Linked DNA regions of Lonchura striata. The protein of the gene in region 3 binds, or shares a complex with, the protein of the main gene of each other region. Links are inferred from orthologs where the notes say so. Each region holds a gene or a part of one and is shown on either strand. Other genes may lie near its edges.

Region 1 (7,978 bases), on a different chromosome or scaffold from region 3:
CTAAGGATGGTGATTGTCTAATGTACAGCTGAACTGTTTGACTCCAAAGCCATTTTGCAGGAAAAGAGAAATGATTCTTTAATAATTGTATACTAGCACATACTTAACATAATCCCTGATTTTAAGGATATGGCTTCCGGCTTCAGAGAACATGTAGGGTAGGTTTTACCTATGCAGGAACCTAGTAGTGAAAAAGGTATGAAAAACTTAGATAATGCCAAAAAGAGAGGAGCAGAAAATCAGTTTCCATTGAAACAAGTTGACAGACATTCCGCAGAGGATGCCTCCAGAAGTTACAAACCTATCACAGTTACCAAACTGAGAAATATTTAACAGTTTCAGTACTGATAGCTTCAAACAAATTTTAGAATATTTTAGGAATCAAAGAGCTACCAGAGTGGATGCTTCCACCTCTTCCAAACAAAATGAATGCTTATTCACAGCAGTTATTTCACTTAGTGATTCACAAACTGTAGAGCTAACTGCCTCAAGCAGATACAAAAAAAATTTAAAGAGGAAAAAATTGAAGATGTTCTACTTCAAGGTTAAGGCATTACAAAAATACCTGCAGGTCAACAGGAACAAAGGAATGTTTCATACAGTTTTGAAACCACTCTTCCTGAGTTTGCTTTGTGAAGAGCAGTCAAGCAGCAATAATGTTTAAACAGAGCTCCCCTAGGTGATGACTACTGTTGTATAGGAACAGTCTGTCTTTGCTGCAGCTGTTTGCTTAAAAAAACTAAAGCTTTATATTACATGATATAAAGAGTATTCTAGGACATGGCAAACAGTCCCAAGAAAATGAACCTATCAGAAGATTGGTATGGAGAGACACTACTCAAAAAACATAAATGGAAAAGAGAGCAGGTTAGAACAAATGATTCTGAAGTAAAAACCTATGTTCTCTAAATTTAGCAGTTTCAGATTTAAACAATACACTCAATACTTTAACATCGAACATTTAGAGTTCAGCAGTTATTTTAAACAGCAAGCCAATAAGAAAGGACTCCCCTAATGATTATTTTGTGCAGGGGTTTTGGTTGCTAAGGAAAACAGTGTTTTCCTGATGCGAATAATTTTTCTAGAAGACAAATATTCATTAATCAGTACACACTGCAGACAGTTTATGTCTTCAAGTAACCAAGACCTTAGTGCTTATTCTTAGAATGTCAAGCAACTCAAGCACTTATTTATGCTTTAGACTGATAGAAGGAATTCAGGTCTGGGCTACTAACTTTCCATATCCAGAACAGATAACTTTCTTTTAAGACAGGAGAAACAGGAGAAACTTGAAAACTGTTGGTGTGGGACGCAGGAGGAAAGATAATTTGTACCAACCCAGGCAGCAGAGGTGTTCAGGTCTACAGGTTTTGTAGGCACACGTCTGGGATTCTCAGCCAAATGCAGTGGAGCTTCATAACAATGGATGGGTCCTGCCCGTGGTTTCTCAAGGAAAATCAGCTCTGCCTTCCTGGCCTTGTGGGTACACTTCTTCTTTGGAGGCATCAAAAGGTGTGGTAAAACTACTTAGAAACCTCATGATGCTTGTTGGAGCCAATTGAAGAAAGATGGAAGCACCCTGAGGAGATGCGAAAGTGCTCTCAAATCTGTAGAAGCAAATAAATGGATTTGAAGACAGACTCATTTGGAAACCTCAGATGCAGTTTTTAACAAAAGCAAAACATTTATGCAACAGCACAGTGTATACATCTTGAGGCAGACTTTTTCCCAATAGTGGTTCTTGGGCCTTTTGTTAATTTTCAGGTAGATTTAGAAATGCACTGCAGGAAGGGAAGCTGTTGACCTACTGATACAGCTATGAAAAGAACAAGTCAGCTATGAAAAGAACAAAAAAGCCAAAAAATTTATTTTCTTTTTTTCAATTCAGTCTTGTTTGTAATGCCAAGAAGATATTGTAAGGCTAAGATAATCAGAACTCTTTCCCTTTCTGGTTGCTAACTACCTGTGTGTTTTTAATTTCAAGGGATTTTAAGTTTGTTTTTTTCTTTTTTACAAAACAGAGTTGACATCTCCCGTATTCTACAGATCTTGCATGATTTGTTTTGCCTAATGAATAAGTTTGAACTGAAGTAACATTGTATTTAATTTTCTATTGGAAAACACAGACTCAATTAGGTTGGAAGACCTCTGAAATCATCAAATTCAACCTATAGCCAAACACCACCATGGCTACTAAACCATGGCCCAAGTGCTACATCTTCAGGGACAGGGACTCTACTTCCCTAGCCCATTCGCCTGTCTTCACCTTTCCTGTGAAGAACTTCTTCCTAATGCCCAACTTAAACCTCCCCTGGTGCAGCTTCGGATGATGTCCCCTTGTTCCATCACTAGGTGCTTGAGAGGTGCTTGAGAGAACATGTAGGGTAGGTTTTACCTATGCAGGAACCTAGTAGTGAAAAAGGTATGAAAAACTTAGATAATGCCAAAAAGAGAGGAGCAGAAAATCAGTTTCCATTGAAACAAGTTGACAGACATTCTGCAGAGGATGCCTCCAGAAGTTACAAACCCCACCTGGCCACAGCCTCCTTTCAAGCCCTTGTAGAGAGCGCTAAGGTCCCCCCTGAGCCTCCTTTTCTGCAGGCTGAACACCCCCAGCTCCCTCAGCCACTCCTCGTGGGACTTGTGCTCCAGACCAGCTCTGCTGTCCTTCTCGGGTCCCACTCCCGCACCTCAGTGTCCTGCCTGAACCGGGCGCTGCACTCCGAGTGCCCCAGCAGTGCCGAGGAGAGAGGAACGGTCCCTGTCCCGGCCCTGCTGGCCGCGCTGTTGCTGACACAGGCCAGGTGCCACTGGCCCTCTTGGCCACCTGGGCACAACTATGTTCACCTACCTGACTTACCATAGATCAGCACAGACAAGAAAACGTGACAACATTTCTGAGAAACGCATGAGACTGACACAGCCTGACGGCTTACCTAAGCGGCACCGTGCCCGAGGGTCCTGCGGGCCCCTCTAGCCCGGCGCGGCCGTGACACACACGTTAAACGGCAAAACCCCGCAGCTCTTCACCAGGCGCCAGCGCGCCGCCGGCGGCGCGGGCGCACGGCGGGGCTCCCGGCCGCGGGCAGCACGGCTGAAGGAAGCTGGCGGCACTGCCGCGGCCGGGCGGGAGCGGCCGTCCCGGTACAAGCGCGGCACACCGCGGTGCCGGCGCGACGCGGGCCCGGTCCCGGTCCCGCCGCACATCCGCGCCCGCCGCCGCCGCCGCCCATTGGCCCGGGCCGGGCCCGCCCCCGCCGCCGCTCACTGGCGCAGGCCGGCACGTGACCGGGCCAGCGCCGGGCGCCAAATTCAAACCGGGCCGCTCCGAGAGCGCCGGGGCCGCCGCCCGCCCCGGCCGCGCCCCGGCCGCAGCTGGTGAGTCGCCGCCGGCGCCCCGGCTGGGGTCGGCGCCCCTCGGACGGCCGCGGTAAGGCCGCCGCGCGGCCGGGACAGGGCAGCGCCCGGGCCCGGCCCGGGGCGGAAGGCCCGGGGAGCAGCGAACCCGCCGGCCAGGGCGGCAGCGCGGGGCTGGGGTGGGTGACAGAGGAGCTGGGAGCGCCCTGGCCGTGCCCTGCCTGCCCCCGCGGGGCCGCGCCTGCACAGCCCTGCTCCCGGGCCTGGACGGGGCAGCAGATCCAGGCCTTGGGAAGGGACGCGCTCCCGTTCCTGCTCGCAGGAACGCTGCCTGTCGGAGGCTGGCTCAGGGTTCTGCTTCTGGCGCTGTCTCTCCTTAAGGGGGAGGAGCAGATCTCCAAGGGCCATGCTTGTGCCGGGTGCCAGAACCCGCGTGGAATGATCGCTGGGCTGTCTGCTCACTGTGCATAGGGCGTTAGCTCAGCTTGTTATCCGCTGGACTCTGCTTTCTATCAATGTAGGGGATTCTTACTGAGAATTTTCTCGTTTACTAGCTGACCCCGTCAAATCTAGTAATGCAAAAGGCCTCTCTTTTTTGGTATCTGTTTCTATTCTGCTTGCCATCTCTAATGACAAACAATAACTACAATTTGCATATTGTTCTGCTTTAGTTTTCAGAAAGGCACAGGTTCCACCAAATTCCTGATGGCATTATTAGCAATATTCTCATAGCATCTTACCCTGGAAGCAGTATCTCTGAATTTCATTTCCTCTGCTTCCAGCTTTATAGTCTAAACTACCTATTGTCCAAAAGTTTGACATCTAAATTGTATGCTACCCAATGATGAATTTATGTGATTCTTAACAAATACAAAAGGAATTAGAAGCACATTTACTTGGTGTCTAGCTTAAAGCACCTTACTTCTGCTGCATTTATTATGTGCTTTTGTAGTGTTCAGGGTAATCTCTGCTTCCCAGATCTTAAACCATCTGTAAATTCCCTTTTCACACAGGTTATATAATCTGCTGCTTAGAGCAATCAGCTATAAGAATCAGCACTGCTGTTTCTATATTCCGCCTCCCCTGCAGCTTGCTGGCTGACATGGTCAAATTGCCCTACAGCTAAGTCTTTTTGTAAAGCACATACACACTTTGCTCATTATTATGTACTTTATGATGCACATTATCTACTCTGCAACTCTCTCATCCTGCTTACACAAAGTGTGGATTAGGGAGGTACAGTATGATTTTTCAGTAGCCTTGTCTGCCTTATTAAATGCTTCTAATTTTAATTTTCCTTTTGCATTTCTAGCTTTGTAGCAACTGCAACTGCTGAGAATGTGTGCTCTGTGGGAGGTCTTGAGATGATTTGCTGCACCCTTTATGTTGTACCTTTTGTTTTGCAGGATTTGTTTCTCTCCCTTTCAATGGAGAGTGACAGTATAGATCAATAATGAGGACCAGCCCTCGCAGGCCCTTAATTCTCAAAAGACGAAAACTGACCCTCCCACAGAATGGTGAATCCAGTACTTCAGCAAGAGATGAGAAGAGAGGTCAGGATGAAAAGGCTCCTAAGCAGGAGCACAGGCAGGAAGACCAACACAACAGACAACCCAGAGACAAAAGGGACGGTGGCCTGCAGAAATTCCCAGCAGGAATAAAGATAATTGACCATCCTACAATGCCCAACACACAGGTGGTGGCCATCCCTACAAATGCTGATATCCAGAGCATTATAGAGGCATTGACAGCAAAAGGAAAAGAATGTGGCAACAATGGACCAAATAAGTTCATTCTCATTAGCAGTGGGGGCACATCCCGTTCAGCAGGTCCAGCACCATCGCAGCATCTCCCATCAGAGAAGAAAGCCAGTGCAGGCAACAGGGCTGCAGTTATTCAAGAAAGAGAGAAGAATGTTGCACAGACATCTGGTCTTGCAGGTAGTACAGAGCTCTGGCATTCAGGAGTTGGTCCTGTGGTTGGACAGGGACAGTATGTAGCCTTTACCTGTTTGTTTTTTTTTTGTCCTGACAGACAAAGAGATGTGAAATGGGCCAAGGAGTGCAGCACTTGCATCTTGGTTTGCAGTAATTATTAATATTTTGTTAATTACAAAATACCTATGGATTGGATTCTAATAATGTACCTAGCTTTGCATATGTAGTGAAATCTGAAGGATTATAGTGGACATATTTTTTGGTGGAAGACATCTGTGCTTCTGATTTAAGTTTTGTGCTAAATCTTTCTATTTCTTGAAGTACTTGATCAACATTGTCCTGTTTTGGTTGACAATAGCCTGGTTTGAGTGTTTATTTTTAGAGCCTGCAGCTCTTTTCAGAAATTGGGCAACTACAGGAATCAAAATCAGGAATTCAAGATGAATTCCTTCCACAATACTAGTGTTGCAATACCATCTTTTAGAAGTGTGACTGGTGCCTTCCTTTTGACAGCTGTGATGAAGGAGTAGCAGGGTTACTTGTGAGAAAGCAGAGTTATGGCGAGGGGAAGGCTGTGTCTGTAGCCCACCTGGGCTTCAGTAAAGCCTTTCACACTGTCTCCTACAGCATTTTTCTGGAAAAGCTGGCAGCCATGGCTTGGTCAGGTTCACTCTTGACTGGATTAAAACTGGCTGGATGGCTGGGCCCAGAGAGTGGTGCTGAACAGTGCTGCATCCAGCTGGTGACCAGTCACTGGTAGGGTTCCCCAGGGCTCAGAGTTGGGCCAGTCCTGCTTTTCTCTGTGTATCAGTGATCTGGATGAGGGGATCAAGAGCATCCTCAGCAAACTCACAGATGACATCAAGTTGGGTGGGAGTGTGGATCTGCTGGAGGGCAGGAGGGCTCTGGACTGGCTGGATCCATGGGTCAAGGCCAATTGCATGATGTTCAGTAAAAGCAGGTACCAGGCCCTGCAGTTGTGTTGCAAAAGCACCAGGCAGTGCTAGAAGCTGGGGGAAGAGTGTCTGGAAAACTGCCTGGCAGGAAAAGAGCCAGGACTACTGGTCAACAGCAGCCAGGAGCCAGTGTGTGCCCAGATGGCCAAGAAGACCAATGACATCCTAGCCTGTACCAGCAATACTGTGTTCAGCAGGACCAGGGGAGAGATTGTCCAGTACTCAGCACTGGTGAGGCTGCATCTTGAGTTCTTTTTTCAGTTTAGGGTCACTCATGACGGGAAAGACATTGAGGTTCTGGAGCATGTCCAGAGAAGGACAACATGGTGAAGGGTCTGGAGCACAGGTCTGATGAGGAAGAGCTGAGGGAGCTGAGGCTGTTCAGCCTGGAGGCTCAGGGGGACCTTGTCACTCTCTACAACTGCCTGAAAGGGGGTTGTAGAGCAGTGGGGGTTGCCTTCTTCTAGGCAACAAATGACAGGACAAAAGAGCATAGCCTCAAGCTGTGCCAAGGAAAGTTCAGATAGGACATAATGAAGAACCTCTTCCCTAAAAGGGTTGTCAAGCATTGGAACAGACTGTCCAGGGAGGTTTGGAGTCACCATCCCTAGAGGTATCCAAGAAACAACTGGATGCTGCAGTCAGTGCCATGGTCTCATTGATAAGAGGGTGTTTGGTCACAGGTTGGACTCAATGGTCTTGGAGGACTCTTTTAGCCTAATTTATTCTGTGATTATTATGTGGGCTTATTATCCCAACAGGCAGTGGAGAGACAATGAGTTCTGTGTTGGACAACAGTCTCACCAACATCCAGTGGCTGGGGAAGATGAGATCTGATGGGCTAAATCCCTCTTCTGTGAAGGAAGACACAGAGAAAGAGAATCAGATACCTCTGCAGGAAAGAGTCAAGGCAAGTAGGAGAATACAAGAGTGTGCTAAAACTTTTGATAAGGAGGTAATCTAGGTGGATCAGAATACTTGCAAGAATTAGGTATTGCTATCTCTAAGTAACCTGATTTTAACCTTTACTGATATGAATAGCAGAACCCAGAGGATCCAGGGATGTTCCATGGGCCTTCTTGTCAGCTTCGCGAACATTCATTCAGACTGAATCTTCTTTCTTTCAGACTGAAGAGGAAGCTGCTGCTGCTGCTATTCCTACTGCTGCTGAGTCCTCCTCATGTCAGGATTCGGTGTCAGAGCGACCTCCTTACTCCTACATGGCCATGATCCAATTTGCCATCAACAGCACGGAGAGGAAGCGCATGACCCTGAAGGACATCTATACCTGGATTGAGGATCATTTCCCTTATTTTAAACATGTAGCTAAGCCAGGTTGGAAGGTAACCAGCAGCCCTCAAGTTGCTGTGGGTGATGTTACATGCCTTCTGGATCAAAATGAAAAGTTATTCCCCAGCCTGCAAATCAAGATGGAAGCTCATTTAAACGTTCCACCCCAAATACACTCTCACTCCAGATGTTCACTGTACCACTTCTTGTATCCCTTGCCTCATCCTACTTAAACAAGATGATGGGATGTTTGAGCACTGGAGTGAGAACTGGGATCTCAAGAGTACATAGAATAAGAGACTGATGACAGGGTTGGCTGGGTACGATGTGAACATGAAAGTTTGGTGTTGTTTGCACTTTGGAATGTAATCCCTCTGCTAGGACAGCTATGTTTGAGGTGGGCCTTGCTGTGCTGATAACAAAACTGCTGGTTTTCAA
Region 2 (7,990 bases), on a different chromosome or scaffold from region 3:
CTTGATTTCAATGTCTAAGTCATCTCAAAATAAGATAATGTGGCTGCACTAGTTTAGGCAACATGTTATGTCCCTCATGAAATAACATCTGTAGAAAGCATGCTTTAAGTGCCTTAACTTACAATGAAATTGCTGAGATTCTTCATTCTTTCCACAACACTCTTCATTGTTTTCAGCACTGGTAAGTAAATACTGACCTAGGAATACATAAGAACTGCATTTGCACAAGTATTTCAGATGTGATTGGGACACATTGATTTCTACTTTCAATTTTATCATAGTTTGGACAGTGTTATCTATGGCATTCAGGGTGCACAAAATCTATCTGAAATCAGCAAATGTCTCAGGAACAGAGGAACTCTTTCCCATTATACCAACAAGCCATCAGTCTAGCAATCATTCCAGACATAATATTCCAAGTCTATGTTCAAAATAGAGGCATGTTTTTGCAGATCACGCTTTCACATGAACTATCTATGTTATCAAATAGTCAATTACTATAGCCAAAAAGAAAATAACAAGATTCCTATGATACTGCAGTAATTACTGGAAATGTAATTATTGCAACCAGTGTAAATCTAAAATAAAAGAACAAAATATTAAAAGTTTTTTCAATATGTCAAGATTCTGTATGTCTTCAGAATCTAAATACTCTTAGCTATAGAGGTAACAGACATCTGTAATCTCTAATAGGAGCATATTTGTTTAAGGACCTTTCCTTACAATTTTGCTAAGAGTTAAAACCAGGAGGAAACACCTATATCTCTAACTCTGCCAGATAGGCCATAAATTTCAGAAAGAATAGATATTTGGGCCATTCAGCACCTGAACAGCTGAAACAGTCTAAACTTGTCTGGTTTAGAGGTGCTCCAGACTAAAGCTAAGCAAGTCCTTTTCTCCTCCCTTCCTCTGCCATGAACATCACAGAAGCAATTGGCAATCACCCACTCTGTTTCCATAGGTTCTGGGCTCTCTTGTCAGGATTGAAGCCATGTTCCATACCCCCCCCCCCAAAAAAAAAACCTGTAGCCTCCAGTCGTTCCTCTTTCCTTTCAACTCCTTTCCAAACCCCACCAGTAATATAATCTATAGCAATATCGTTCCACTTGCAAGCTCCTCTTTCAGAAGGGAAAATAAAAGCAGAGGCTTACATCAAAGTCTGGCACGCTGGGTTCTCTGAAGTCATTCCACATTCTTCTGGGAATAACTCCCACAGGAATGTCATGTGTCACAATCCTACTGCTGCTTGGTAAGGATGGCTTCAGGGAAAAAAAGGATGCTCTTGCAGTTAAACACAAGATTGGAATTCTAAATTTAAATTTTTCAGACCCACTCTAGGAAATGCTATAACTACATGCCTGAAACTCAGTTCATTTTCCCTCAGCTCCTATCAATATGCTTTAAAGTGGGCTTCCCTTTCAAATGAGGAAGAGTTTGTGATGTATCAGTCATTAGTGTACCTATAAGCTATCCAAAGAGCTGAAGAAGTGAATCAGCAGAGTTAACAATAAAAGAATCAGAAGTCAGCATACAATATCAGGAAAACCAAAGGCAAAACACAGAGCCAAACACTGAAACCTCCTTCATCTAATGGCTTCAATGAAAAGGCAATAATCCACAGAAGATACAGAGGATGAAGGAAGGTAGAAAAGTAGACATTAGAAAAACTTGTTTCAATAACACAGCATTCTTCCTCCACCTCCTCCTTGCTTTTTGGAAAATATAAATCTGGTTCTGTATGCTACCAACCATGATGGCAAGAAAGGTTAGTGAAAGGGAAAATGGCACAATGCTTCTTTAGTTTTCTAGAATTACACCAAATATTACCCTTTGATCTTAGGAAATGCACTGAATTTTAAATAATGAACATGAAAGCATGGTTGAACTTACTAGCTCCACAGCAACTCTGAGACAGGGACAGTGTTTATTAGTCAACTTGATCTTCACTGCCTTAGCACTCTGGGCAGTTTTTAATGCTCTTGACAGGTTCTCAGGCACAAACTCTAGATAGATTTCATTGTGTTCTGCAGCTACTCCTTCCATCTGAAATTCATCGAAGAAATTCCCCTACAATTTTTGAAAGTCGGGAAACAAAGCAAATAAGAGAGGCAAGTTTTATTTATCGGACCTTAAACTTAGAACTGCATTTGTACACCAGAAACTCCCCTCTGCCTCACATCACCTGAGGAATCACAACCATGAAAATTCATTGCTTCAGGCTAAACCAATTAACGTACTCCCCTAACACCTTATCAGTCTATTAGACAGTGAGTTATGCTTTCCCGTTTCCAGTTTTGGGCAGGCCCATGTGAGCCAGCACACACTGAAGCTTTACACTGAAGTGACTACCAAGGAAAAAAGGAATATCCTACCTGAAACACCTGCAACCAGACAGACCCTGAGAGACCTAGCAGATCGAAGGTGAGGGCTACAAGAAATGCCTCATACGTCAAACCCAATTACATGCTCTGGTTTTCAAAATGTGGTCACTGAACTTTCCTGGGCTCACCTGGCTCAGCTCACACCACAGACTGGCGCCTCCATTTGCTACTTTATCGGAGAGGATGAAATACAGCTTGGAGACAGTAAGGCGCAGGATGCAGGTCTTGGCTAACTTGGCGACAGTGTTAATTATACCTGCCGGAGGAAGGGAGGGAGGAGACGTCACACAGCGATCGCTCCACGCACCCCCGTCTCTGCGGGACGGAAAAACCTTCAGCTTTCACAAACGCAGCTCGTGCTCTTTCGCAAACTCCTAAACACCTCGGGGCGAAGGAAAGCGCCTCATGCCACGTCCTCCCAGGAAAGCAGGCGGTCCTCGCCTCCCTTCCTCTTTTCTTAGCCCGAGAAAGCCGGCCCCAGGTGCTCGGCGAGGCACTGCCGCCCTTCAGCCTGGCCCGGCATACTCACGGCTGAAGTGGCTGAGGCAGGCGACATCCACGATCTTTGCCCGAAATCGCATGGCGCCGCGGTCCCGCCCGGGCGGGCAGGGAGAGGCCTCGCCAAAGCCAGCCCCGCAGCGCGGCGGGGCTGGGCAGCGCCCGGGCGGGCAGGGAGAGGCCTCGCCAAAGCCAGCGCGGGACTGGGCAGCGCCCGGGCGGGCAGGGAGGGGCCTCGCCAAAGCCAGCGCGGGACTGGGCAGCGCCGGGGCTGGGCAGCGCCCGGGCGGGCAGGGAGAGGCCTCGCCAAAGCCAGCCCCGCAGCGCGGCGGGATTGCGCAGCGCCCGGGCGGGCGGGCCGACTTCCTTCCGCCGCGGCAGCAGTCGGCGCAGCCTGGGCTGAAAAGCTTAGGCCGAAAATGCCTTGGGACCCCCGGAATGTACGTGAAGATTCGTCTGTGTGGGTCGCAGTCCCGATGTCTCGAGAAATTTCTTTTTCAAATCCAAGGGGGCCCTTGCAGCAGACCCATCAGCCGCTGGCAGGGGCATAGCCCCGACGCTGCCGCACAGGACGCGGTGGTGAGGAAGGAAAGCAACAGTCGTGATGGAAAGGGGAGCGAACAGCTTCGTGAGGGGCCTTTTCACTGCCCCAGTTTTACCAGCCCACCCAGAAAGGGCTGGGCAGCCGAAAGTGTTTTGAGAAAGATACTCTCTGTCAGACCGGGTGCCTCCTGTAGCCAGGCTCCCAGCTTAATGCATGGTGCACAGGGGTTTATGCCAAGGCTGGAATTGTTCAAGGAAATAGAAAGTGAAGGAAAACTGCTTTACCTAGTCAATGTGGAGCATGCCTGTTTTCTATAGACGGTGTCCTTTGCCTTAATGGTTTTAGTTCCTTGCAGTACTTCAAAGCTACAGCATTTGCAGAGACAGTTTTCTAGTGGTGTTCTTTTTTTGTCTGTCAGGATTGTCTGGTGTTCTTTTGTCACATTGCAAGTTCCCCAAATCAGCTAAATTGCCTCTCTAATATTTAATTTTGAAATATTCTTGGAGTGCTGCTCACATGCCTTGATTCTCTCTTTCTATACAGTCATTATGAAGAAAATGAAAAATAACCTTGGGTCTGCCTAATGACAGATACAGCAATAGTTTCTGGAGAGGTTATCCTCTGCTTGTATTGCTCTTAGACCTTGTAAATTTTGTAGAAATAAGCTGAAGAGTTTCCCAGAGAAACCAGTGCAGCAGGGCGTCACAAATTCTCATCTAGGATCCTGTCAACTATACCGATTTGTCACAAATATAGGGTTTAGGGTCACTCAAAGAATCATCATGAAAGGTATTAGCAAAAGTGGGGTTAATATACATATATTAAAGTGTGACATAAAGCTCAATGACAAGATTCACTTCATCATGGATGAAACATACAAAGAAAAATCTAATTAGAATAATTTTAGAATTATTTACAATGAGACCAAAGACAAAAAAAGAATAAAGAAGACTCTCCTGTTGAATCACAAGTTCAGAGTAGATCCTCTTGCTTTCTAAACTCCTCACAGAGCTTAGGTGCAGCTTGGTACAATCTTAGCTTCAGACTTGGACAATAGTTTACACCTAACAGAATTATCTCCAACTTTTTCATTAAATACTGGTGCATTTGCCTTTTGTTTTATGAAACATGGCTGCAGAAGATAAAACCCTAATGATGTGAAATCCCACACACTAAACTTTGCAGTTTGTTGTGGCGCGGCAGGCACTCCCCTTGCTGCGGCACCCCGAGCGGTGCCGTGCTGGGCTGCGAGAGGGAAGAGAACAGGCGGCCGCTCCCCCTGCGAAGCTCTGCTGTCCCAGTTGGTGGCGCGGGGACAGACGAAGGCGACACGGGACTTGGGGGTGAACAGGATGGTTTTATTCAGTGAGCCCCAAGACCTCTTCAGGAGCGGGAGCAGAGGTTTTATACAAGAATTCAGGAGGAGGGGTATAGGAACAGCAACCAATGAGGGAATAGCAGGGGAGGAGTTTAGGGCAGAATTAACCCATCACAAACCTATCAGGGGGAGCAGGGAAGTGAAATAACACAAAATAAGCAATAGGGTTTCAGGGAATGCTCTGGAAGCAGAGGAGGGGGCTAGGATGAATGACAGAGAAGGTTCCAGGGAAAGGAGCAGGGAAAGGGAGGATTGACAACTTGGAGATGAGGGGGTTAGGGGAGAGCTAGGGAATACTGACAACTGGGGAGAGGAGGAGATTAGGGATTGGGGGGGGGGGGGGGGGGGGGAAAGGGGAAACAGATATTGAACAAAAATCAAATTAAAGACACACCACCGCAGCAGTTTAACACACTTTACATCTTTCACAGACATAATTGCAGACTGCTTTTAGTGAAATGATTGCTACATGAATGTTAAGCAGGAATTTGCAGAAGGAAGATTGATCTGAACCCTTTTCAAGCTGTGGCATCGTGATACATGTGGATTGCATAAAGTTTAACAGATCCACATCATTTGCCTTTTCTGCCTTTGACTGGTTTTACCATGGCCAAATGCCAGGCACCCATGAAAGTCACTCACTCACTCTCTGCCACAGCTGGGCAGAGAGAAAAAATTAATGAAGAGCTCATGAGTTGAGATAAGGACTGGGAGAAGACACTCCAAGGGCAAAACAGGCTCAACTTGGAGGTACAAAGTAGATTTAATACTAATAAAATCAGAGGAGGATAATGAGAAGTACAATAAGCTCTTAAAAACATCTTCCCTCAAACCCTCTTTCCTTCCCACTGACAGTGTAGGGAGACAGGGCATGGGGGGTTTTGGTCAGTTTGTCACCTGAAATCTACTGCTCAGGGAGAGGGGCCCTTCCCCTGTGAGATTGTGGGGTCCCTCCCACAGGACACAGTTCTTTATGAACTTCTGCAGCGGAGGTCTACTCTCACGAGCAGCAGTCCTCCCAAAACTGCTGCAGCATGGGGCACTCTTCCATATGGTGCAGTCCTCCAAGGACAGGCTGCACCATCCTTGAAGCTGGTGCCCCCTCTCCCCATTGACTCTTCCACTGGATCACAGCTTTCTCCAGGCATCCACCTGCCCTGGCACAGGCACCTCCCCAACAGGCTACAAATGGATCTCTGCAACCCCTGTGGATCTGCATGGCCTGCACAGGAATCTCGGCTCCAGTGCCTGGATCACCTCCTCCCCCTCCATTTTCACTGACTTTGGTGTCTCCATGTTATTTCCTTCACATATTCTCACCTTCTTGTCTTCTCTAGCTGGAATTCAAACTGTGCCACCACTTTGTTTTTATTTACTTCTTAAATATGTTATCACAGAAGCATTACCATAATTTCTAATTGGCCCAGCCTTGGCCAGTGGTATGTCTGTCTTCAGAGCCATCAGAGATTCGTTCCGCTGGACATGGTGGAAGCTTCTAACAGCTTTTCACAGAAGCCACCTCCGTGGCCTCCCCACTACCAAAACCCAGGCCATACAAAACCAACACATCTGGACAGAAGTTTGTTCTCTAGCTTGTTTTCTAGATATGGTCCATTGCTAACATTGCTTTATAACCTCTGAAGATTAAGCCTCAATGAGAAGACAGACTATGTATACAAAAAATTTCCATTGCTTGCCCTAAATAATAAAAGTGGGGAATTAATAACCAAGATGGGCATCAGAAATAAATTACTATATGCCACATATACACCCAGAAGTCTGGAAAAAAAAAAGGCTTTATATTGCTCTGTGCTCTCATCACACTTGACTGACAGGCTCTACTTCAGGGTTTCAGGCCAGGCAGGAGCCATTTATTACTATGGCTGTAGGAGAGAAGGCAGATAAATGGGGGTTCAGCTCTGTCTTGGTTTGAAAAGACAGGAGTTTGTGAAGGAAGGCAAGAGCCTCCTGTGAAATGGAAAAGGTAAACCCCCTCCCTCCAAATTACCACAGTTTCAAAATTTCAGTGTCTCCCTGGAGGGAGACATTGTTCTTGGAAGAGATAAGAAAACTGCCCAACCTCCAACAGATGGCAAATAGAATACGTGCTTATCTTATTAGCCAGGACAAGCTCTCTATCCATACTGGCTTAAAACAGAAGTGCTAGGGTATATCACATTTACAGCAGAGAGAGACAGCTTTGTGGAGGAACCTTGATATGGCAAAGCAGCACTGAGAGAGTAGGAAAACTGTCACAGCAGTTGTACCCCTCTTCTCCTAATAACTCAGAACCTTTGTGCTGTCTGTGGATCTTCTCAGCCTGTCATCCTCTTGCTCCTCCTCCTTCATAAGGAGTATGAAAACTACTCTAATTTTTTTAACATATGTAGGGATCAGGTCTTCAAGTGAGGCTTGCTTTTGGGCCAATATTCCAGCAGTTATGAAGCTGACTACTAATAGTGAAGCATAGAAGCAGTGAGCAATTTGTCCTTAAAATACTGTGATTAAAAAAACACCCCCAAACAAAACCCAAACAGGTTACTGCCTGTGCATTCAATAATGAATCCATCATCATCCAGCAAATTAGAGAGATCCAGTTAGAACTCAAACTGGCAACTTCTGTGAAGGACAGTAAAAAACATTTTTATAAATACATTAATGGCAAAAGGAAGGGCAAGGACAACCTCCATTCTCTATCAGATGTGGGAGGGAATTTAGTAACTGAAGATAAGGAAAAGGCAGAGGTACTGAACACCTTGTCTGCCTCAGTTTTTAACAAAGAGACAGGTTGTCCTCAGGAAACTCTGTCCTCCTGAGCTGCTAGATGGTGTCAGGGAGCAGAATAGACCCCTGTTATCCAGGAGGAAGCAGTCAGAGCCTGCTGAGCCACTTAGATTCTCACAAATCTATGGGACCAGATGGAATACATCCTAATGTGATGAGCTTGCAAAGCTGTTCTCCATCATTTACCATCAGTCCTGACTCACTAGGGAGGTCCCAGAAGACTGGAAGATGGCCAGTGTGACACCCATCCACAAGAAGGGCCAGAAGGAGGATCTGGGAAACTACAGGCCAGTCAACCTGACCCTGGTACCTGGCAAGGTTATGAAGCAGATCATCCTGAGTACCTACAGGGTGGCTGGGGAATCACATGCATCTAAAGGATTGCCGGCGAATTAGACCTACCCA
Region 3 (7,986 bases):
AGACAAAAAGCACGATCTCAAAACGCCTGATGAGAACTCTGTAAAAACTCATTAAAATTAGTCACTGTACGTATCCCATGACTGTTTTACCAAACTCTGCTGTTTGTTTCACTTTATTCAATCAAAAATGCTCAACTGTCCACACCAGTGTCACATTTACCAGGCTGTCAAAATACTCATTACTATGTTAATTAGAGAACATACTGTGATTTACTATACTCATTATAATTCTTCCTGAAATGAACTGGTATTCTAAAATAGCTCCCCTCTCTCCACCGTGAAAATTTCCACTCCTCACCAAAGGCAGCCAAGCACAAACATTTGAGTTGAAAGCCATTTTTAGTACCTGAAGTAGGGTTTATCTGGAGACATGGTAATCTGCAGAACTTCACTGGTCATATCCAGTTCAGCAAATGCTTCTCGTAGTCCCTCTGACTGCAGGATAATTTTATTAACAACCTTTGTACTGCAGAAATCAAAATCTAACAATTCCTCAGGCTCTTGAGTGTTGATTTTGCATACTGTTACTACTCCTCCTTCTTCCAAGAACAGCATCAGTGGATAGCCATAACCACGATAACACATTCTAAGGGCCGTTGATGCTCCTGAAAAAGAGAGTAAAACATACATTCTGCAGAGACCATAGCAAGAACATTCGATCACTTTAGAAAACTCACATTTTTCTGGCACACAGGCCACAGATCAATTTTAGTGCTGCCTCCTAGATACCCTCTGAAATGCTAATGGGTATGCAGTAAAATTAAATTACTTGTGTGTAGACAACTTAAAGCCAAATAATTTCACCCACCAGCTCTGACAATTAAGACGCACTACAAACAGTTTAGAGGAATTGGAAAATCCTCATGGCCCTGTGGTTCTCTGGCTCACATCATCTTTCCTTACTACTCTTGTTACTTGTGCAACCTAAACTGAAGTTAAAGCAGCTGAGCTTGTGCTGCAGTCACACCCTCTTGTTGCAGGTTATCACCACCTGAACCTCCGGTTTCCTAAAACCACAGTGCTCTTTAGCACACTCGATTTGGATCTTTAGGTCATCCACAACCAAAACTGCAGGGGAGTGAGGAGTACAACACAGAGCTGCAAGAGCAGAACTGTCCAGAAAGCTGCCATGGTATCACTCCATGCCATGTGAATACACATCCTGCAGTGCCAGCACAACCTTCTGTGGATTCATGGAAATATACCACACCTGGCAAGGAGCTGGATCCAAAAATGGTGAGGCAGTCCAGAAGAACTGACAAACTGATCCGGAACATCACTGATTCCTCCTGAACAGAGAATTCCTGAAAAATTTCTGCCTGTAAATTAAAGCAAAAATATGAAAAGTTGGGAGTTTCTGCAATTATTTTACAGCTTAAACTTCAGGATTTCCCATCCAGAAATCAGTACAACACAAAATGATTTCTACATGCAACACAACATTGATTGTAGAAAAATGGGGCTTCATCCTCAAAACTAGGAAAACACAACCAAACTACATTTGAAACAAGGTAAAATGGCATAAACGTGAAACCTAAATACTTGTCTCTTATGGTTTAAGTACAACCTACAAATGGTAAAACCTAGAGCTGCTTACTTCTGGAGCTAGAAATATTCATGGAACTGTACAATGTGTCACATTTCTACAGTGACAATACTCATATTTTTTATGCTCAGAGCATGAATAAACATTCCAAATACTAGTACTTAAGAACAGAACAGTGACTTCACCACTCTGAAATATGTGCTGAATCCTGCCTTTGACTAGCCTGATGGGGATAAACTGCTCTATGCTGTGCTGTCTGTCACTGGTACTCACTGCTTGTTGCACCTACGAGAACAGAGTATCTCAGAAATAAAGCAAGGTGGCATGAGGTGCTTTTGGAAAAGTAATTTCATATTCTCCTGGCTGCCCAGAGAGAAAACTGCATCCTGAGGTGCTTTGAACACAGCACAACCATCTTCAATCAAGTGTCTGTGAATCTGTACTCTTTCACAGTTGACAAAAATCCAATCTTTTAGCTTTGGGATGAGCTATAAAAAGAGAGGTACAGTGAGCACTTGCTTGTGCAACTAAGAACAGCACAACCAGAAGGAGCATGAGTTTGGCAGGCACCAATATATTAGATGAGGGCGCAAACCCACTACACTGTTACGTGTTCAGGGATGTACTGGTGCCGGGTTTGGAATTCCAGCAGCATGGACACCCACAAACAGGGGCAGACTCACCACGGTCCTTCCTACAGCCAGGCACCTCTGCCTCGGTTCCAGCAACGTCTCCCCTTTTCCACAGGTGAGCACATGGAATTGTTAGGGTTAAGGGACCTCTAAAGATTATCCAGTCCAAACCCTCTGTCAAGGCAGAGTCACCTGGAGGAAGTGACACGGCACACATCCAGGCAGGGTTTGAATATTTCCAGAGAGGGAAACTCCAATACCTCCCTGGCATTCTGTTCCAGTGCTCTACCACCCTAACTGTAAAGAAGTTCTTCCTGGTGTTGAGGTGAAACTTGGTGGTGGTTTACTTTATGCCCATTGCTCTCCTTCCTGCCACTGGTCACCACAAAAAGGAGTCCGGCAGCATCTTCTTGGCACCCATCTTTGAGATATTTATATGCATTGGTGAGACTCTCAGTCCGCTCTTTTCCAGACTAAATAGACCCAGCTCTCCTCACAACAGAGATGCTCCGGTCCTTTAATCACCTTTGCAGCCTCCGGCGGACCCTATCCAGAGACTCCTTGTCCTCCCGGGCTGCGGCAGCCGCGCCCTCCCCGTCGCCGGTGTCCCCGTACCTGGATGAAGGCGTTGGCCTGGATACACTTGGCATCCTCCACGGTCACGCGCAGCCCGCTGGCCGTGGCGAGGCAGGTGGCGTAGTCCTGGAAGTGCACGGCCCGCAGGAGGCTGGACAGGTGCCGGGCATTGTCCAGGCTGGCGGACAGCGCGCAGCGCTCGCCGCTGGCGGGCGGCTGTGCCGAGAACGGCATGGCCGGGCCCGAGGAGGCGGCAGCACGGGGGGCGGAGAGCGGCACCGGGAAGGCGGGAGCACAGGAAACGCGACACAGGAAGCGGAGTGGGCGGACACCGGCGAGATATGGCGTGGGGACAGATGGCGGCCAAGAGACAACGTGGAGCGCCGGCCGGGGGGAAGGCGAAGCGCGCCAGGAGCGCCCCGAGCGCGGGCGAGGCGGCGCCGGGGGGCGGCCCTGGGGAGCGCAGCGCCCCGCCGCAGGAATACCGCATCCCGCCGCAGGAAAACCGCATCCCGCCGCAGGAATACCGCATCCCGCCGCCCGTGTCCCAGGTACCGCCGCTCGGCCCGGGCTCGGGGGGCCTGAGGGAACGCGGCCAAGCCGTGACAGGGAGGGTTATTCGTAATCTCTTATAATACCATCACAACTAACAGTACACGTGGTGGCGCGTTTTTTTCTGTACGCGAGAAGCGTTAGCCTGGTCCATGTCGGTAAGATGTGTTACCTCAGTCTCAAAAGTATTTGAAAGAATTGGGTAATTCTGTTGTATACTGAAGCTGTATGGAAACTGTACTTGTTCCGTTTAGGAATCATACAGAGAAGGTTTCCGTAATTGTTTGCTTGTAGGAAAAACGTGGAATACTGCGCGTAAACACAAAGATTTCACAATACGCCCGTCGACAGGAGAAGCTGGGCTGTGCTCTGGGGCTGTCCCTGAGCCCATTTTGCAGGAAAATAAGCGATGCACGTGTGGCTTTTTAGTAGTTGGATGGGAGTGAAAGGATGTGCCTGGGAGCACGCCGTGGATCAGGATGAGGACGGTTCCTCCTGTAAAAGCAGTGCCCCCCGTGCTGTAGGGAAGTTCACTCTTAAAGAGAGCGTGGTTCCTGTCTGCGTGGGCAGATCAAAACCAAGGTTCTTGCTGTGTCTTTCTGTATTGACTGTCCAAACTTTTATTTTGCTGCGTTATGACATTATTAAGGCTGGAAGCTTCCCACGTGACTATTGTGCCTTTTTTTCCTAGGGCAAATGGAAGAACAAGGAGCGAGTGCTGATATTCTCCTCTCGTGGAATTAATTTCAGAACAAGACACCTAATGCAGGACTTAAGGACATTGATGCCTCACTCTAAAGCAGGTGGGGTTTGAACATCATTCCTAACTTATATTTTGACACTACTTTAAAGCTAAAAGCTCTAAATGATCTGTTCTTTTATTTTTTTAAAATGGGGTACAGAAGAGTTTTGCTGAAGCTTGTATCTTAAACAAACACCCTTTGAGCCAACAAGTATTGCAATTGTTGTACCATAGTATTTTCTGAGAAGTGAATCCTATGGTCTCAGTCTGAACCTGCACAGTTAGTTTTGTTGCTATGTCTATTTGTTCTATAACGTGACAGGAACAACTTGGTAATTACCCTTTCATTTATAAACTAGTACAATTTTTGTAAAACATCTGACTGTTCAAAGAATCTCTTGTATTAAATTGGTTTTCCACCCTTGTAAATGTTGGTTTTGTCTTCCAGATACTAAAATGGACCGTAAAGACCAATTATTTGTAATCAATGAGGTAATTCAGTATTTGTCTTGGTGCTTCTTCATTTTATTTTATTTTATTTTATTTTATATGGAAATTCAGTATGCAAGGGAAAGGGGCAACCGATTTCAAAGTGTAACTTCAGTGGTGAAAATTATTGATACCCAAAAAGCCAAAAGTTGACTTTTGGTTAATAAAACCAGAATGAAACTTTTAATTAGATACAGATTTTATTCATGAAGAAATTTAGCATAATGTGCTTTTTGTGTAGGTGAGAAGTGTAGTACAGCTTATGCTTGAACAGTGCAGGACATATATATGCCACCAGCCCAAATATAGTAGGATATTGACAGTTCTCAAGCTAGAACCTAATGTTATTGTGTTTGTATCCTGGATAGGATTATCAAATTGTTTGTAGCTTTAAGGAGGTTATTACTCCTTGTAGTAAGTATGTGAAATGTAAAAAGAAAGCCAAACCAAATTTTGGGTGTCAGTAGATGTCATTTAATAAGACAATATTATTTTGTACTTCCATTTTGGAGAAGGAAAAAATGTTAGAGATGAATGTGGAAAGTTATCAAAAATGTCTTCAGGATGTTTGTAAGCACTAATTTGATATGTCTTGTGTAGGTGTGTGAAATGAAAAACTGCAATAAGTGCATCTTTTTTGAAGCTAAAAAGAAACAGGATCTCTACATGTGGTAAGGAAATGTTGCTTTGTTACATTTCTATTTATAGCTGCAATTCTATCTGAAGTTTCCGACTCTAACAGTGAAGATGCATGAAATACGGCTGCTTAGTTAAATTTGTTCTAATATTGTACTTCTGTGGATTGTGGAAATTTACAGTGAACAGCTTTGGACATTGTTCGCAGAAGCATTTTACAAAATTGTTTAGAAAACAAGTTTTTATGAGCATACATACACATTACAGTACAGCTGTAAAAGTAGCAGAAACTACTTGAATGCAGGAATAACTGGTTGGGGTGTAGTGTGGAAATCTATCTGGCTGTTAACATAAATTCTGGCTGCTGTTAACATTTTTGTTTCTCTGTTCCCCACCGCTTGTCCTCTGAAGGCTTTCAAACACGCCACAGGGACCATCTGCTAAATTCTTGGTGCAGAATGGTAAGCTGGTGGACATTACTGTGTTTGTATTTTTGCTGTTGTGTCCGAAAAATTTTCTGTGTGTAATAACTTTTTTTTTTAATCACTGTAGTTCACACACTGGCTGAATTGAAGATGACAGGAAATTGCCTAAGGGGCTCAAGACCCCTTTTGTCTTTTGATCCAGTAAGTATAGGCTTTATTTCATTTGGGTGTGTTCTTACTCTTTTTGCATGACTATTGCATTTAGCCTTGTATGTAAAATAATATTTTTGTTTTTGTAGCTATTCGACCGAGAGCCACACTATGCCCTGCTAAAAGAATTGTTTATTCAGGTCAGTCTGTAGTTGTAGTGTTTCTTCACTGGAAATGTTTTCTTGGCAACATACTTAAGAATCACAAGTGGTTTTTTTTCAAGTAGCAGTTTTATACTTCTGAACTTTGAAAAGATCACAAAGGATTGGGATCATTCTTAGCACAACTCAGACACTTATTCATAAGTTTTGGGTTATGAAGTGTAACCTTGGTTTGGGAACTTAGTAAATTAAAAGGAGTTTAAGACGAGCTATGTATGACTTCTTAAATTGCAGATGTTCAGAAATACTGCCTTTTATTACAGATATTTGGTACACCACAGTACCACCCCAAAAGCCAGCCTTTTGTTGACCATGTTTTCACCTTCACTGTCACTGATGAAAGGATCTGGTTTCGCAATTATCAGGTGAGTGGTCTCTCCTAGCTCTTCTAAAGGAGGTCAGCAGAGTAACTTCATATCACATCCATTAAATAAAATAAGAATCATTATTGTTAGCAGGATATGCCAGCCCCTAGTGCTTGCAGATTGAGTGTCCTGTAATGACTTCTTCCATATGCCTGGAGAGATCTGGTTCACTGAACATTCACCAGTATTCATTGATTTGTGATTCTGTGAGGGATGTCTTGGTAGCAGGACATACTACCCAAGGCCTAAACTATGCCTTAAGCAAAATGGCTGCTTTGACCCAAAGCGATCAAGAGCTTATTTTCTGTATAAGGAATTCACAAATACAGAGTACTCCAAAAGCTTGCTTGAATTTCAAGGAACTGCTTTATGTACAGGACTGGGTTTATACAAATCTAGCTAATTATCTTGAATTTAAATTCAGTTGTGTATTGCTATGTGCAAGGTGCCTGCAAGGTCATATGCTTTGATTCAATCTGTGAGAAATGGAGAAAGTTTTCTTTTTATTGCAGATAATAGAAGAAGATGCATCTCTAGTAGAAATTGGGCCTCGTTTTGTCCTGAACCTTATAAAAATCTTCCAAGGTAGCTTTGGAGGACCAACTCTATATGAAAATCCTCATTACCAGTCCCCAAATATGGTAAGCAGCTCTGTTTTTGTTTTCTCCTTCATTTAGCAACTAATTTGAAAATCAGCCTTGCAGTCAGTCTGTGCAGGAGCATCAACTATGCCTTTCCCCAGGACCCTTTGTAGTGCCCTAAACTGGTGACAGTTTGAGAGCAGAGTAGTTTTGTAATCATGGAGTGAATGCAGAAGTCATGTCACTGAAAAGATGATATTACACTGAGGGTCTTGGCCATTAAGCAGAGAAATTAGCATTAAAGAAATCAGTTTCTTTAATACCAGATTTCTTCCATCATGCTTATTTGAAACATGATGAAATTTAAATTCTTACTTTTATAGCATCGCCGGCTGGTGAGATTGTCAGTGGCAGCTAAGTTTAGAGAGAAGCAGCAAGTGAAAGAAGTGCAAATGATTAAGAAAAAAGGGACTAAGGTCCTTGTTGAAGAAGATCCTACTGAAGTAGTCTTTGAAACTCCAGCTGAAGAAAAGCCAGTGGAAATACAGCTTGTGAAACCAGAATCAAAGCCAATTGTTAAAGATAAGAAGAAGCTTCGCAAAATTCAGAGGAAGAAGCAAAAAAAGCTGTTCAGAACTGAAGGATCTGCGTAGATACTATAAGGAATGAAACTTCATACAATATCAACCAAATATCGTAAATATTTGGATTCACATTGTACAGACAAACATGTCTGAGCTTCAGTTTTAAATGAGCAAAACACACATTTCTTTATAAAGATGGAGTTTGCATTCTTTTATTGTATTCTGGGATTCTGAGTTTTGAGAAAAAACATGGCATCCCATTCAACCTGGCCTTGAACACTTCCAGGGATGGGTCATCTGGACAACTTCTCTGGGGTTATTTATAACATACCTTTAGTTCAGAGTTCCTGACCTCATGACCTAGTTCTTCCTCTTTCAGTTCTACACTCCCCCAGACTTTCTTGTGTTTCAAAGTCTTGCTTGTGCCCTGTTTCTGTTTGACTTTCTGTTCAAAGTCTTGCTTGTGTCTCTGTTTCAATTTCCAGCA

The links.
Region 1: the proteins of RAD1 (region 3) and RHNO1 are in contact, whole or in part, in a crystal structure (PDB 6J8Y), measured with the Homo sapiens proteins. The link is inferred for Lonchura striata from reciprocal best matches to the Homo sapiens genes RAD1 and RHNO1. Residues at the interface, in NP_002844.1 of Homo sapiens: Asn47, Gly48, Ile49, Lys50, Phe64, Ile65, Gln66, Ser149, Lys155, Ile157, Glu211, Ala212, Lys240, Val241, Ser242, Arg244, Gln254, Tyr255, Met256, Phe266, Glu268; in NP_001239428.1 of Homo sapiens: Ser55, Trp56, Val57, Ser58, Pro59, Asp60, Phe61, Asp62, Thr63.
Region 2: the proteins of RAD1 (region 3) and HUS1 are in contact, whole or in part, in a crystal structure (PDB 8GNN), measured with the Homo sapiens proteins. The link is inferred for Lonchura striata from reciprocal best matches to the Homo sapiens genes RAD1 and HUS1. Residues at the interface, in NP_002844.1 of Homo sapiens: Asn85, Val88, Asp91, Cys92, Ser94, Ile95, Phe96, Gly97, Ser98, Gly127, Val128, Val129, Thr130, Val131, Cys132, Lys133, Ile134, Asn135, Gln137; in NP_004498.1 of Homo sapiens: Thr165, Ser168, Val169, Lys172, Met173, Asn175, Ile176, Glu197, Leu198, Val199, Cys200, Val201, Thr202, Thr203, His204, Phe205, Lys206.

The regions. Positions count from the first base shown.
Region 1 is NC_134604.1:31,063,073-31,071,050, forward strand, and holds the start of RHNO1 (RAD9, HUS1, RAD1-interacting nuclear orphan protein 1), read right to left. Parts: upstream 3,072-7,978; 5' UTR 2,937-3,071; intron 2,234-2,936; exon of another isoform or gene 1,608-2,233; 5' UTR 1,507-1,607; coding exon 1,339-1,506; intron 1-1,338. Other genes in the region: forkhead box protein M1-like, read left to right, coding at 4,811-5,349, 5,808-5,954, 6,106-6,245, 7,012-7,214; forkhead box protein M1, read left to right, coding at 7,471-7,593. UniProt on the Homo sapiens protein: Involved in microhomology-mediated end-joining (MMEJ) DNA repair by promoting recruitment of polymerase theta (POLQ) to DNA damage sites during mitosis.
Region 2 is NC_134603.1:83,471,892-83,479,881, forward strand, and holds the start of HUS1 (checkpoint protein HUS1), read right to left. Parts: upstream 3,062-7,990; 5' UTR 2,963-3,061; coding exon 2,911-2,962; intron 2,899-2,910; exon of another isoform or gene 2,789-2,898; coding exon of another isoform or gene 2,764-2,788; intron 2,638-2,763; coding exon 2,510-2,637; intron 2,068-2,509; coding exon 1,891-2,067; intron 1,260-1,890; coding exon 1,152-1,259; intron 198-1,151; coding exon 123-197; intron 1-122. UniProt on the Homo sapiens protein: Component of the 9-1-1 cell-cycle checkpoint response complex that plays a major role in DNA repair. The 9-1-1 complex is recruited to DNA lesion upon damage by the RAD17-replication factor C (RFC) clamp loader complex.
Region 3 is NC_134642.1:38,211,418-38,219,403, reverse strand, and holds the start of RAD1 (cell cycle checkpoint protein RAD1), read right to left. Parts: upstream 3,039-7,986; 5' UTR 2,989-3,038; coding exon 2,794-2,988; intron 1,320-2,793; coding exon 1,211-1,319; intron 606-1,210; coding exon 347-605; intron 1-346. Other genes in the region: BRIX1 (ribosome biogenesis protein BRX1 homolog), read left to right, coding at 3,096-3,305, 3,998-4,109, 4,497-4,540, 5,138-5,208, 5,585-5,634, 5,726-5,799, 5,898-5,948, 6,233-6,334 and 2 more. UniProt on the Homo sapiens protein: Component of the 9-1-1 cell-cycle checkpoint response complex that plays a major role in DNA repair. The 9-1-1 complex is recruited to DNA lesion upon damage by the RAD17-replication factor C (RFC) clamp loader complex.